Lytechinus pictus: one gene and its partners. The protein of the gene in region 1 interacts with the protein of each later gene in a pairwise test. Links are inferred from orthologs where the notes say so. Each region holds a gene or a part of one and is shown on either strand. Other genes may lie near its edges. The genes, in order: TRAF3-interacting protein 1-like, structural maintenance of chromosomes protein 4-like and cell division cycle 5-like protein.

The links.
Region 2: the proteins of TRAF3-interacting protein 1-like (region 1) and structural maintenance of chromosomes protein 4-like interact in a two-hybrid assay, tested with the Homo sapiens proteins (2 studies listed by BioGRID and IntAct). The link is inferred for Lytechinus pictus from reciprocal best matches to the Homo sapiens genes TRAF3IP1 and SMC4.
Region 3: the proteins of TRAF3-interacting protein 1-like (region 1) and cell division cycle 5-like protein interact in a two-hybrid assay, tested with the Homo sapiens proteins (2 studies listed by BioGRID and IntAct). The link is inferred for Lytechinus pictus from reciprocal best matches to the Homo sapiens genes TRAF3IP1 and CDC5L.

What each region holds. Positions count from the first base shown.
Region 1 is NC_087247.1:57,292,479-57,296,236, reverse strand, and holds the start of TRAF3-interacting protein 1-like, read right to left. Parts: upstream 2,760-3,758; 5' UTR 2,589-2,759; coding exon 2,466-2,588; intron 1-2,465.
Region 2 is NC_087260.1:4,780,625-4,784,382, forward strand, and holds the start of structural maintenance of chromosomes protein 4-like, read right to left. Parts: upstream 2,423-3,758; 5' UTR 2,385-2,422; coding exon 2,193-2,384; intron 1,698-2,192; coding exon 1,503-1,697; intron 864-1,502; coding exon 684-863; intron 1-683. UniProt on the Homo sapiens protein: Central component of the condensin complex, a complex required for conversion of interphase chromatin into mitotic-like condense chromosomes.
Region 3 is NC_087248.1:5,496,540-5,500,297, reverse strand, and holds the start of cell division cycle 5-like protein, read right to left. Parts: upstream 2,525-3,758; 5' UTR 2,375-2,524; coding exon 2,330-2,374; exon of another isoform or gene 2,187-2,329; intron 1,350-2,186; coding exon 1,246-1,349; intron 1,096-1,245; coding exon 934-1,095; intron 56-933; coding exon 1-55. Other genes in the region: glutamyl-tRNA(Gln) amidotransferase subunit A, mitochondrial-like, read left to right, coding at 2,621-2,644, 3,384-3,543.

The DNA of each region.
Region 1 (3,758 bases):
CTTTCCTCCCTCTCTTTCATTCTTTCTTTCATTCTTTATTTTCATTTTTCCTTCCAATTATTTTCCCTTATTCTTTAATCTTTCCCTTCCTTCCTCTTTTTCAAAGAATGACGGAAACATTTTTTTCTTTCTTCCTCCTTTTTTTTTACTCTGTTTTCCTTTCTCCTTCATTTTTTCTTTCACACATTTCATCTGCTTTCTTTCTTCTTTTCCTTTCTCTCCTTCATCTTTTGTTCACCCTCCCTTCCTTTTCATTACAATTTGTTTACAGGCCCAATATTGTGTAGCCTTCTTTGCTGATATTTTTTTTTATTAAGACCTGGCTCGGTCCATCCAGCTTGGTCGATCCACTCGTCGATTGTTCCGTATTTCATTTTGTAAAATCTGGTCACCCTGTCTAGAACCTATATGGCAAGTTCCCCCAAGTCTGCGCAGTCCCCCTTGTCTGCGCACTCGCATATCTGCGCGATTCTAGTAAAAGAAGATACGCAACGAACACAGACTTTACACATGCAATACATAGACAGGTATTCATTAAAAAATCCGACTCAAAATAATGGAAAATAATGAATTTAGGGCATTTCATGTGACGGCCACGAAATGCAGTCTTTCTCATCAAAATCCCTGAATCGTGTGCAAAGTGAATGAGTGCGCAGACATGGGGTATAGTCACGTATTGTATTACCGGACACTATTATGATTCCGGACGCGCATATTACTGCGTTCAAAAACAATTTCGTACTGTAAGACTTCCGCAATTCAATTTCACATAGCAATACATACATTGGTTGTAAAACAAGATTGCAAAAACAAGGCGAAAAAATCAAACTTTTACCTTATTTATCTCTAAAATGACAGAAAATGCTTAAAATATCATATAACATAGTTTTGCATTAACAATTGATATATTTTATAACGGAAATATGGGCCTGATTTGCCGAATTTCAATCTCGTCCACTCCTCCGATCGAATGATGAGGTGTGGTGTATTGTGGGTGATCGTCGACGGCTAGTTCTCGAGGTACCTGTGCGGGAGGTTTACCGTGAGTAGAGCCGTCGATCGGCAGCGCATCGATAGAACTTGATGAGCATCACGATACGAACGCGAGCATATATTATTGGAAAGTGCCATGGAACATGCAGCTAACAAGAAAAAATGAATAAGTTATCAAACACAAATTTATTACCAACATCTGCTCATATTCAATATAAAAAGCAATTAAAAAATTAGAATTTACTCATGATATGAAATAAGAAGAAAAAAATCACACAAATTTGTTCTTACATCATTATAATCAAGGATATCTTTACCCGTCCGGCGCGCGTCCGGAATCATGATGTAATTTGTCGCGTACGAAAATAATTGTTTTTCGTGGAGGGGTATGCGTCAACTGCGATGCAAAGAAAATGGTTGGTAAATAGAAAATAATTTTATCATATTCATAGTTTTCATAATATTTGGAATAGCAAGTGTGATTTTTTTCTTGATTGTATTTCCTCTAGTTGTCATTTTTAAAGCACTGAAATAAAGGTGTCCGGCAATAGGATACACTGCCATACCGGTATAGTGAGTGATTGTATTACCGACCGGTCTTGTATTACCGAACGTGCGCATCATACGCATCAGAAAATAATTCCATACGCTCAAAATTTTGCAACATCCTTTCAAAGAGAACTTGAATAGAAAGATGATGAAAAATTGTCAAAAACACAATTTCAAAGTCTTAATATTCGAAAAATAATAAGATATGGTCAAAATAGCGCATCAGTGATTTTGTTGTTTTCTCAACTTTTCCCATAGAAAACACACGTTCGGTAATACGATACCTTTTTCAAGTGACCAAAATATTTCACATGCGAAGAGGGGTCCGATTGGAAGCTAATATCGTAAATAGGACAAACGATTTCGGCAAAATGTTTACATATTTATATTTTGTAGGTAATTGTGTATTCATGGTGAAAGTTTGGTGAAGTTTATGAGAATAGTGTGTTTGATATGATTGAATTCATGAAAGGTGTTCGGTAATAGTTCTACGATCCACTACCATACCATTTTTTTTTTCAATCTGAAAATGACTGCCCAAGGTTTTTTCAAGAAAATCCTTTATTTTCTTTCATTTTTCAATGAGAAATTTGGGACACTTACTAATAATAATATAGGCCTAAGGAACATTATTAACTGAAAGATTTTGTGAAATAAGAAGAATTTCATGTTAAATCTTAACTCAAAATCAAATTGTTAGGTGCGCAGACTTGGTTGGGGCCCACCATCATAAAACAAAACAAAGCAGATAACAAACAAGAAATGCAGGGGTGAAATTATCTATGAGTATGACGTCTGCATCGTAATTTCTTCATGTGCACAGAATCACTGCATGTGGAAGTTAAATTGCATTGACATTCAATCCATTGGCACTTTACAATTACACGTTCGATAGAATCGAGATCCAACTTGTTTTAGTTTACCTCTGTGAAAACGTCGTGTAGAAATCTGAATGGAGGTTTCTTCAGCAGCTTCTCTGTCATCGGTGGTTTTTTTATGATTTTCCCAAGAGAATCCTGGGTTTTCTTAATATATTCCTCTCCCATTATGTTCTAGTAGAATGTCACCTCATATCTCTATCCGAAACTGGGTAAGATTCTCCACGAAAACGAACAAGATGAGGCTCGTTACTCCTGTTGGTAACCGGTTTTTTCCTAGAAACGGGACGCCATTTCGATGACAAATTATTGTAATTGGAATTTCACAACGGAGAATTTGTCTCCTACTCTAGGCCGTAGAGGGCGAGTAACTAAAAAGTGCGTATTAAAAAAACGGGACAGTTTAGAAAAGTCTATCAAAATTTTGTTTCAAATTATGATGTCTATATTTTGATGTTAATAGATGCTCTGATGTCTTATCTTTCTAATGCTTTTTTTAAAGAAAATAGTTCCGTTCATGCTTGAGCGAACACAAGACGTTTTTGTGAGGGGTTCAAAAACAGGCTTGCGCCAAATGCCAGAAAATTAGACAATATTGATCATCGTGTGTGTGTGTGTGTAGTTGAGTTTTGTCAGACGTGTATCAATCAGATATGATTATTTACGTCTGGGACCGACCTTTAACGTCACCATCCGAAAGACGTGACCAGGGCTCGAACCTCTGCATCAATTTGTAACTTCCCCACATAGCTTGGATTACAGGCGCACGCCACAACGCCAGTGCAGTGGCGTAGCTACGGGGGGGCCTGGGGGGGCACGTGCCCCCCCTGAGATTTGGTGTGCCCCCCCAGGTGCCCCCCCTGAAAAAAAATGGCAGAGCAAAAAAAAAAGGGAGAAAGAAGAAAAGAAAAAAGGAAAAGAAGAAGAAAGACAGAAGAAAAAAAAGAAGAGGAAATAAGAGGAGGAAGACGAGTGAATGATATAATGTGAGGGGAAGACTTGCAAAAAAAAAATCCTTCATGTTACTTTATAAATTTTTTTCTTGCGCTTCGCGCCAGAATTGCCTGTTCGATGAGATTCATATCTTGCTCAATAGGCTGATATGGAGCAAGTTTTGAAGTCAATATACAAAACATATTTTAGCTCGGACATCGAGCTTTCATTATTTTTTTTCATTTACAAATTTAAGTGCTCTGTAAAATGTCCATTTTATGGTCTACATATCAGCATTTTAAGCTCACGCTGCGTGGTCACATTGTTTGATTTGCCAAGTTCATATTGTCTACGTGTCCCGGCTACGTGTATTCCATAATGTTCCATTAAACAAATGTATTCAGA
Region 2 (3,758 bases), on another chromosome or scaffold:
TGTGCATTTTTCTGCAGATGATACAAGTGAGTATATAGACTAACTCAAGGTAGGTAGTGTTATTTCTACAGGACCATTTTTTCCCTTCACATCGAGGGTGATTGCTGAATCTTGAGGGCTATTTCTTTCACTTTCAGGGCATATGTTTTATGCAACCAGTAAGCAAATTGTGCAGTAAATGTAAATACCATTATTCTACCAAATGTAGAAAATTAATTTCTCATTACACTCAGAGCTGAAATTTCTTATTCCTGAATATTGTTGGATGGTTACCCCACAGCATGCAATTTATGGCATTTTAGGGGCGATTTGAGCTGGCATAGGGGCAAAATTGCCCATCATCCTCATGTATTTGCTATGCTAATGTAGCTTTGCCCCCCCCCCCCCCCCATGCAGTGTTAGGTCATAGCACTGGCACACAAATGAATGGGGGGGGGGAGCTTGGAAGGCCATGGACCCCCAAAAATTTTCACGACCAAGAAAACAGGGAGAAAGGAATTGGCAAGGAAAGAGCTGAAATATAATATTATTTTTCTACATATTATTTCAAACTCTATTGATAACAAAATTAGATTTTGTGATAAAAAGGTCAAAATTTAGACTCACTCGCAGCTGTTAAAGAAATTTTGCCCCATACACCATTTCTGGCCCCCTTAAAATGTTTGGCTTATTACGCTACTGACCTGTAGGATGAGGAACCTATTGTGATCGAGGTCTACTCCAGCTTGCCTGAGGAGAGCCGTGCATTCTTTGAAGTTGACCTTCTTTCCGTCCAGGTAGTAGCTGCTGCTGTTGTCCTTGTGCGCTGTCCTTGACACCACAAACTGACTGTTGGGTACCACTTCGTACTCATCGACCCCGGCCTATTCAATATAGGGAAATACATCGAGGGGCGTTTCACAAAGCAGTTCCAAAGTTACAAGCGACTTTACGAATGACCGAGTCATTTCTCATGAGCTAAATTCACACCCATGATTATTTGGTGCGCATTTATAACTTTTCTCAAGAAAGGATCACCAGTCATTCGTAAAGTTGCTCACCCTACACGATTCAACTACGGTACGATTTACAAAGAAATGAATTTTTCATAAAATATGAAAGTTTCAAGAAGTAAAATTATTCCAGTTGAAGTTTGGCATATATGTGTAAATGCGAGGAATACTAAAATTCAAATTCTCTTTTGATGCAAGCCTTCTGACCTGAGTAGTATTCAAATCATCTTTAAGTTGCAGTTGATGATAACGTCATTACAATTTGGAATTGAATATGCTTTCATTATCTTTTCGACAGGAATGCAAGAATTTCAATTAGATCATACAGTGTATATCACTATTCGGAACTTTGATCGGTATCTTTTTAATAAGGTTTTATAGGTAGGAATATTCATATCAAATGCTACTACAATTTCTTTAATATCAGATTATCACAATAGATTATGCATTGTATGCCGGAGTTAAACCAACATAATTTTCATAAGTTTCCTAAAAAAACCTCTTACTCACCCCTGTATCAATGATCTTCTGAAAGTGGACAGCTACGGTGCAGCTCTTCAGGTCCTTGTGATCCTCCGACTTATGGATGAGAACTGACAGTTTCTTGGATCGAATCTTTGAAGCACGGTAGCCAAAGACGAACAGCATGGAATCGATGACATTAGACTTTCCACTTCCATTCGGCCCAATAATGCAAGAGAAACTCTGCATATAAATACAGCCGTGGAATAATTTTCCTGGTAGCACATCACAAATTACTCCACATTTTTTTAGGATTACTCCACAAAATTTCTGAATTATTTTCTGGTATATATGACTAAAAAGAACCAGAACATAGTTGAAATCTCTCACAACCAGAAATGCTAATCCAATTCGAGAAGAAAAATTATTCTCTGGAATAATATCAAACTTGGATTGAACTCTTTCTCCCTCTCTCTCTCTCTTACTCCTTTATTCTCTTTTCAGGTAAGCAGGGCAGAAATTTAGTACATACATATTCACAACTATAAATCCTGGTACAGTAGTTTTCAATAGAGCTGAAAATCAATAACAATTCTGTCACATGTGAAACTTGTGCTATCAAAATGGACATTCTCTGCAACCGGATTCTAATTCTGGCCTTGTCCCCAACAAAATTTTAGATGGAAACGTTCGACATAGGGACAATCCAAGACTGCTTCATGTTCTACACCAACTTACCTTATGGAACGGGCCGAGGACTACTTTGCCTGCGTAAGACTTGAAGTTTTCAGTCACAATCTGCGTGATCAGGAGCCTGGGTTGTGCTGTGGGAGTCGAGGGTTCCTGAGGTATGGACTCATTGGTGTCCATGGGCTGGCTTTCTGCTTCACCCTCAGCCTTGCCTTGCTCTGGTTCCGCTAACACTGGCATCTTGTTGCAGTCCTGGTGAATATAGATAAGGAAAAAATAAGCACTGAGTCAATAAATAAACTGACTGATTCTACAGTGTCTCAAGGAATTATTTGAACACAATACTATTACTAGGGTAGGCCAGAAAATGGCACTAGATTTGTGCTGTAGACATGTGTCCAAAATGTCAATACCGTTGGTTAGTTGGCCTCGAATATTCTTTCTATATTTTGAGTGAACAATGTAGACCAACTTAGTGATTTCTTCACATTTTCTGGCAGCCAAGTTGATTATCTATTGATGTGACATGTTTCCACTGCCCCACTCAGAGGCTCACACAGTCTAGGTCAGCATTTAAAGACTTTGAAATGCCTATTTTTAGCCACTAGCCCACACAGTATAGCATATAGGGATGGACCAATATGCATTTTCCAGCACATTTTGTGGAGTATCTTTCACTATTTAGGAAATTTTGAGGTAAGTTTCGAGCAATGTCTGTGATAATAATGCTAATAAAGAATACATCAAGGTAAGGCCGCTGAAACTCGATGTTGAGTTTTCCGTCGCCCGTCCGCGTTATGAAATTTGGCCCGCGTTTGAAAATCAAATTCTTAAAATAATTTATTATTTTACTATTTTGACATAGATCTAGATTCAAAACTGATATAAAACATTTATATAAGCTTTTCACTCGCACAATTACTTGTATACCCGGTATCTTGTAAATACCTGTAAATCTTTTCTTTTTTTCTTGTGAATGGAATGATGCTGCATGCTCAACCATAACGTTAGTCAAACTCGTAGAATCAACCCAGCCATGGCCATGCAACAATGCGCCCGCGCCGCGCTCCAGCAAGTATGCACAAAGATTTACTTTGGTCAGTGTTTTGAACAAATCACGCACGCAACAGCGATAGTACACATGTACGTACATGTACAGTACGTGTACGGTGCAGGCAGAATCTCAATATGATCTCATCGCCGAGCAAGGCCAAGGGCCTAGGATTTTTAATATTTGACGAAAAAATGACGATGTTCTTGTCAGTGACTATTCAAAATCATCAAAATGGCAACACGCTGTTACCATACACGATCACTAACATCGGTCAGATAGAAACTTTTTGACATTTTTAGGGCGATCCTCGCGATGGAAAACTTAGATCATGTACATGTAGATGAGAATGCAAAAATGACCATGGTGTATTAAATGGATTTATTAATGTTTAGATCCATGTTTGTCTGATTTAAATTTCCCATTTCATTTATTGTACTAGTATACTTAACAATATTTTACAAAATGCCAAAAATTTAATTTATAAATTCATTTACTATATACTTTGTGTATTTATACCCCGCTCCGATCTCTCATTGCGGTGTGTCCAGTCCATGTCAATA
Region 3 (3,758 bases), on another chromosome or scaffold:
CTTCCTTGGATCATCCATCGTATCCCCATCACCTTCCTTCTTCTGCGCTTGATCACTGGTCATCAAAATGATACCAACATCTCAAATGTAAAACTGTTCAAGAACTTAGTTCTAAAAGAAACTAGTTACTCAAGGTTAAAAACATCTTTCTAAAATACTATATTTCATACATGTATCTATCTAAAAAGGTAATATTAGGAAGTAAATTTCCCATGTGTGCTCTCAAACTTGAAGTCAAGACTTTCATCTGTATTCATGAGACTTTTGATTTTACAGATGTGTATCGTACAGGATTATTTTATCTTGGACGAACCTTTAAAGTAGCCATTCATAAGACATGACAGGGCAGTGACAATAAATTGCCTTGCTCAGAGGCACATGTGCTGTGGTCAGGTTTTGAACCCTGTACCTTCATGTGTAATAGGGTTCCTTTGACCACTTGAACATGACAACTCCACAAAGGCTGTTGCTTTATTAAAACAAAGGTACGAGCCTAAATCATAGTTTGATATCAATACTCATTCATTTTCCATCAAAAGTTAATGTTATATCTATTACAACCAAGCAAGCAAACAGTATGGCCTCTGTGTCTCAATTTCAATGCGAAATACATGCTGTATGATTGGTTTGTTACGCATGTGTTCCTCAAATCTCTGAATACATAACTGTTATGTATTCAGAGACACTTAAACATGTATAAGTGATGATATAGATACCAAAGCCAATACATCAATAGGTTTGCAATAGATAATGATACATTCATAAATGAGTTACGACAAATTGAATCTCATTGCTTGGCAGAGCAATTGTGAACAAAACTGCACAATACAGAAGTAATCAGAGCACAAGAATTACAATTTGATAACCATTTCAAACTCCAAAGGCCTATAAATTAGATTTAAAATCTCACTGAAGAGTGAGATCGTAACTTACAGTAAGATTTCATATCTTTCCAGACACTGTGCTGCAGTACGTCCCACAATGGGTGCAATGGTCCTCCATTGGGTAGGCATGAGCTTAGCCAGGTGTAGGAGCTTCTCATCTTCCTCTCGACTCCATTCTGTTTTCTTGATACTCGGATCCAGCCATTCAAACCTAAGATGAAGAACAAGAGAAAAGCTGAATTCTAATTTCAACGCACAAGCAAATGAAATATCTACACATTTGATAAGGAATTAGGAATACCTTCCATATGGACAGTTTTAAGAAAACACTACATCCCCATGATAAATTGATGTAACTTACCATCTTGCTTTGCATTGTTTAGCTGATTTCCTGTGTAACAGTGAAGCAATTCTAGACCACTGGTTTTTGCCATATTTCATCACAGCTGCCTTGAGGATTTCATCCTAATGCACAAAAGAAATAGGATAATAGGTTATTGAAAAATAAAACCCTTCAAAGTTCAATTATGAAATCATACTAATAAATATTTCTAATTTATATCGAAATACATCTTAATCCATGTGGATATACATTGATTACCTGCACTTAAATGTACTTAAAATCCATGAATAAATTCTCACCAGAAGAGTAAGTCAAGCCTCACAAGCAGCAGACATGTGGACTGAGGAGGACTGAGGTCATTTAATCTTTAAAACAGGGTTGTATTATAACATTAAAGTTTTTTTGTTTTAAAACGCCTTAAATCCTTTTGTTTAAAACATTTTTACCCCAATAAACAAATTAAATTTTATGATGAATTAGGGGTAAAACTGACCTATTTGTAGCTAGACAAAATATTCTAAAAGTTACACGGATTCTTTTCCGTAATCTCCGTAAAAAAAATAAAGAGTGTCCCATAAGATCTCCCGTCTCGACGTGATGTCTTCTATACTTGGTGCATTAAAAAAAAATATGTTCATATAATGTATTTCAATTTGATGGCCCTTGTTTTTAAATTCTCTGTTGGCCATTTTTTATGAAGGCCAAGGGCCTGGCCCTGGCCCAGTAACGTCCTGGCATCGGGACGGTCTCCACTTCGAATCAAAATGACTGAGTGATAGTGACTGATGACTGAAATAAATTAATTTAACTTAAATTAATGAGGCATGCCATTAATGATGGGTGTTAAACTTGCCACAATAAAAGTTAAAACCATTTCTTTTTCCTTAATTCTGAATTTCTGATCCTTCAACACCTTCAATTTTGAATTTTCTTTCTCACACTACCCTAAAATGCACAATACACACTCAAAAAGCACGTCATACACTGCAAAACATGCAAGTTTTTTTTGCAAAGATCGCCGATTTAACTGAAATTTCTGATGGATTTTAACTCAAACTAACATATTTTTAAGGGAGAATAAGACTAAAACATAAATATTTACTTCAGTGTTCCTCCAAACACCTCCTTTAATCTGGATTCGTGGCATTTTCACAGTCTTTCTTGTCAAAATTCAGGTTTGAGAAGTGAAAAGGGAGAATATCACGCAACGAGTTGTAGTTTATTCTCCTAGCTATGCGCTAGGCGCTAACCGGAAAAGAAAGAGAGAATGCACGTACTTTTGCGCCGCGCATTTTAAAGATAATTGATAAAACGACTGGACAAAAATCTACGTTTTCTCTCGCGACAGTTGAGTGCGCTGCGACTTTTCCAATAACAGTTAGATTTACGAAAAATGTTCGGTTTATCTATTCGTGAGGTAAATATAATTTATGTTTCTGTTATATCTTTTGTTCGGCTCTTTGTTCATGTAAAAGTAGTATGTATTTCTCTGAAGTAAATGTTTAAATTGACTTTTTTTTTTTTAATTTACAGGGAATTATTTTGTTCACCTCAGTCCCACAAACTCAAAAAATTGTGAGAGCTTATGTTATTGCAATATTGATTACTCTTCACTCGTGAATTTGTTGACTTTGGCAAGTTTGGGCCTGGGACTGCAGCATGTGATCGAGGGGAAAGGGTGGGGGCGGCATATCATAGATCAGTATGCAAATCTATCAGTCACTATAGTCTATGGCCTAGATCTATATCACCATACATACATGTGGTTAAGACTTAATTAAGTTGATGTGTGTTCGGTTAATTCCATAATTTCTAACTAAAAATTAGAATAAGATCTACATAAATGCCAAACAATTTGGGATCTAAATTATTTCCTTACCTGTTTAAAAACTATTTTCTGGGTATACTATAAGTTAGTTGAGCTTGAGCCTTGAGGGGCTAATAATCGCCTGATGGGTGATCACTTGATTTATTTGATAATTTTGTTCTTGACATAATCCACTCAAAGTCAAAGTTGCGGAACATAGATATACTATAGCCTTAAGACTTAACTTTATTAATATTATTTTCCAGATGTAAATATACATGTAGATTGAAGCATGAAAAGTTTATTTTTCAAATCAAAGTTTCATTTTTTTAAATTTCCATCATTGCAGATTGCTCTTCGCTTACGTGATGGTCGGCTTTCGGTCACTGAGCTCTGTTCCAGATGTGCAGAGAGGGCAAGGCGCTGTAAAGAGCTGAATGCTATTGTAACAGAGTGCTTTGATCAAGGACTGGAAGATGCAAAGAAAGTCCAAGACAAAATAAATAAAGGTAGTTTCACTTTTACTGTTACAGTGTTAGTCTTAAATTTTCCAATGGCTAAGATTGAATTTTTTTTATATGAATCTAGTTTATTTGTGTTATTCATTTAAACTATCATAATCTCTATCTTTTCAGATTTGACTATGTTTACATCTTCAGAAGATGAAAATATTTTTGGTGGAAAAATTTATGTTACAATCTAGGTAGATTTTGTCAATCTTTTT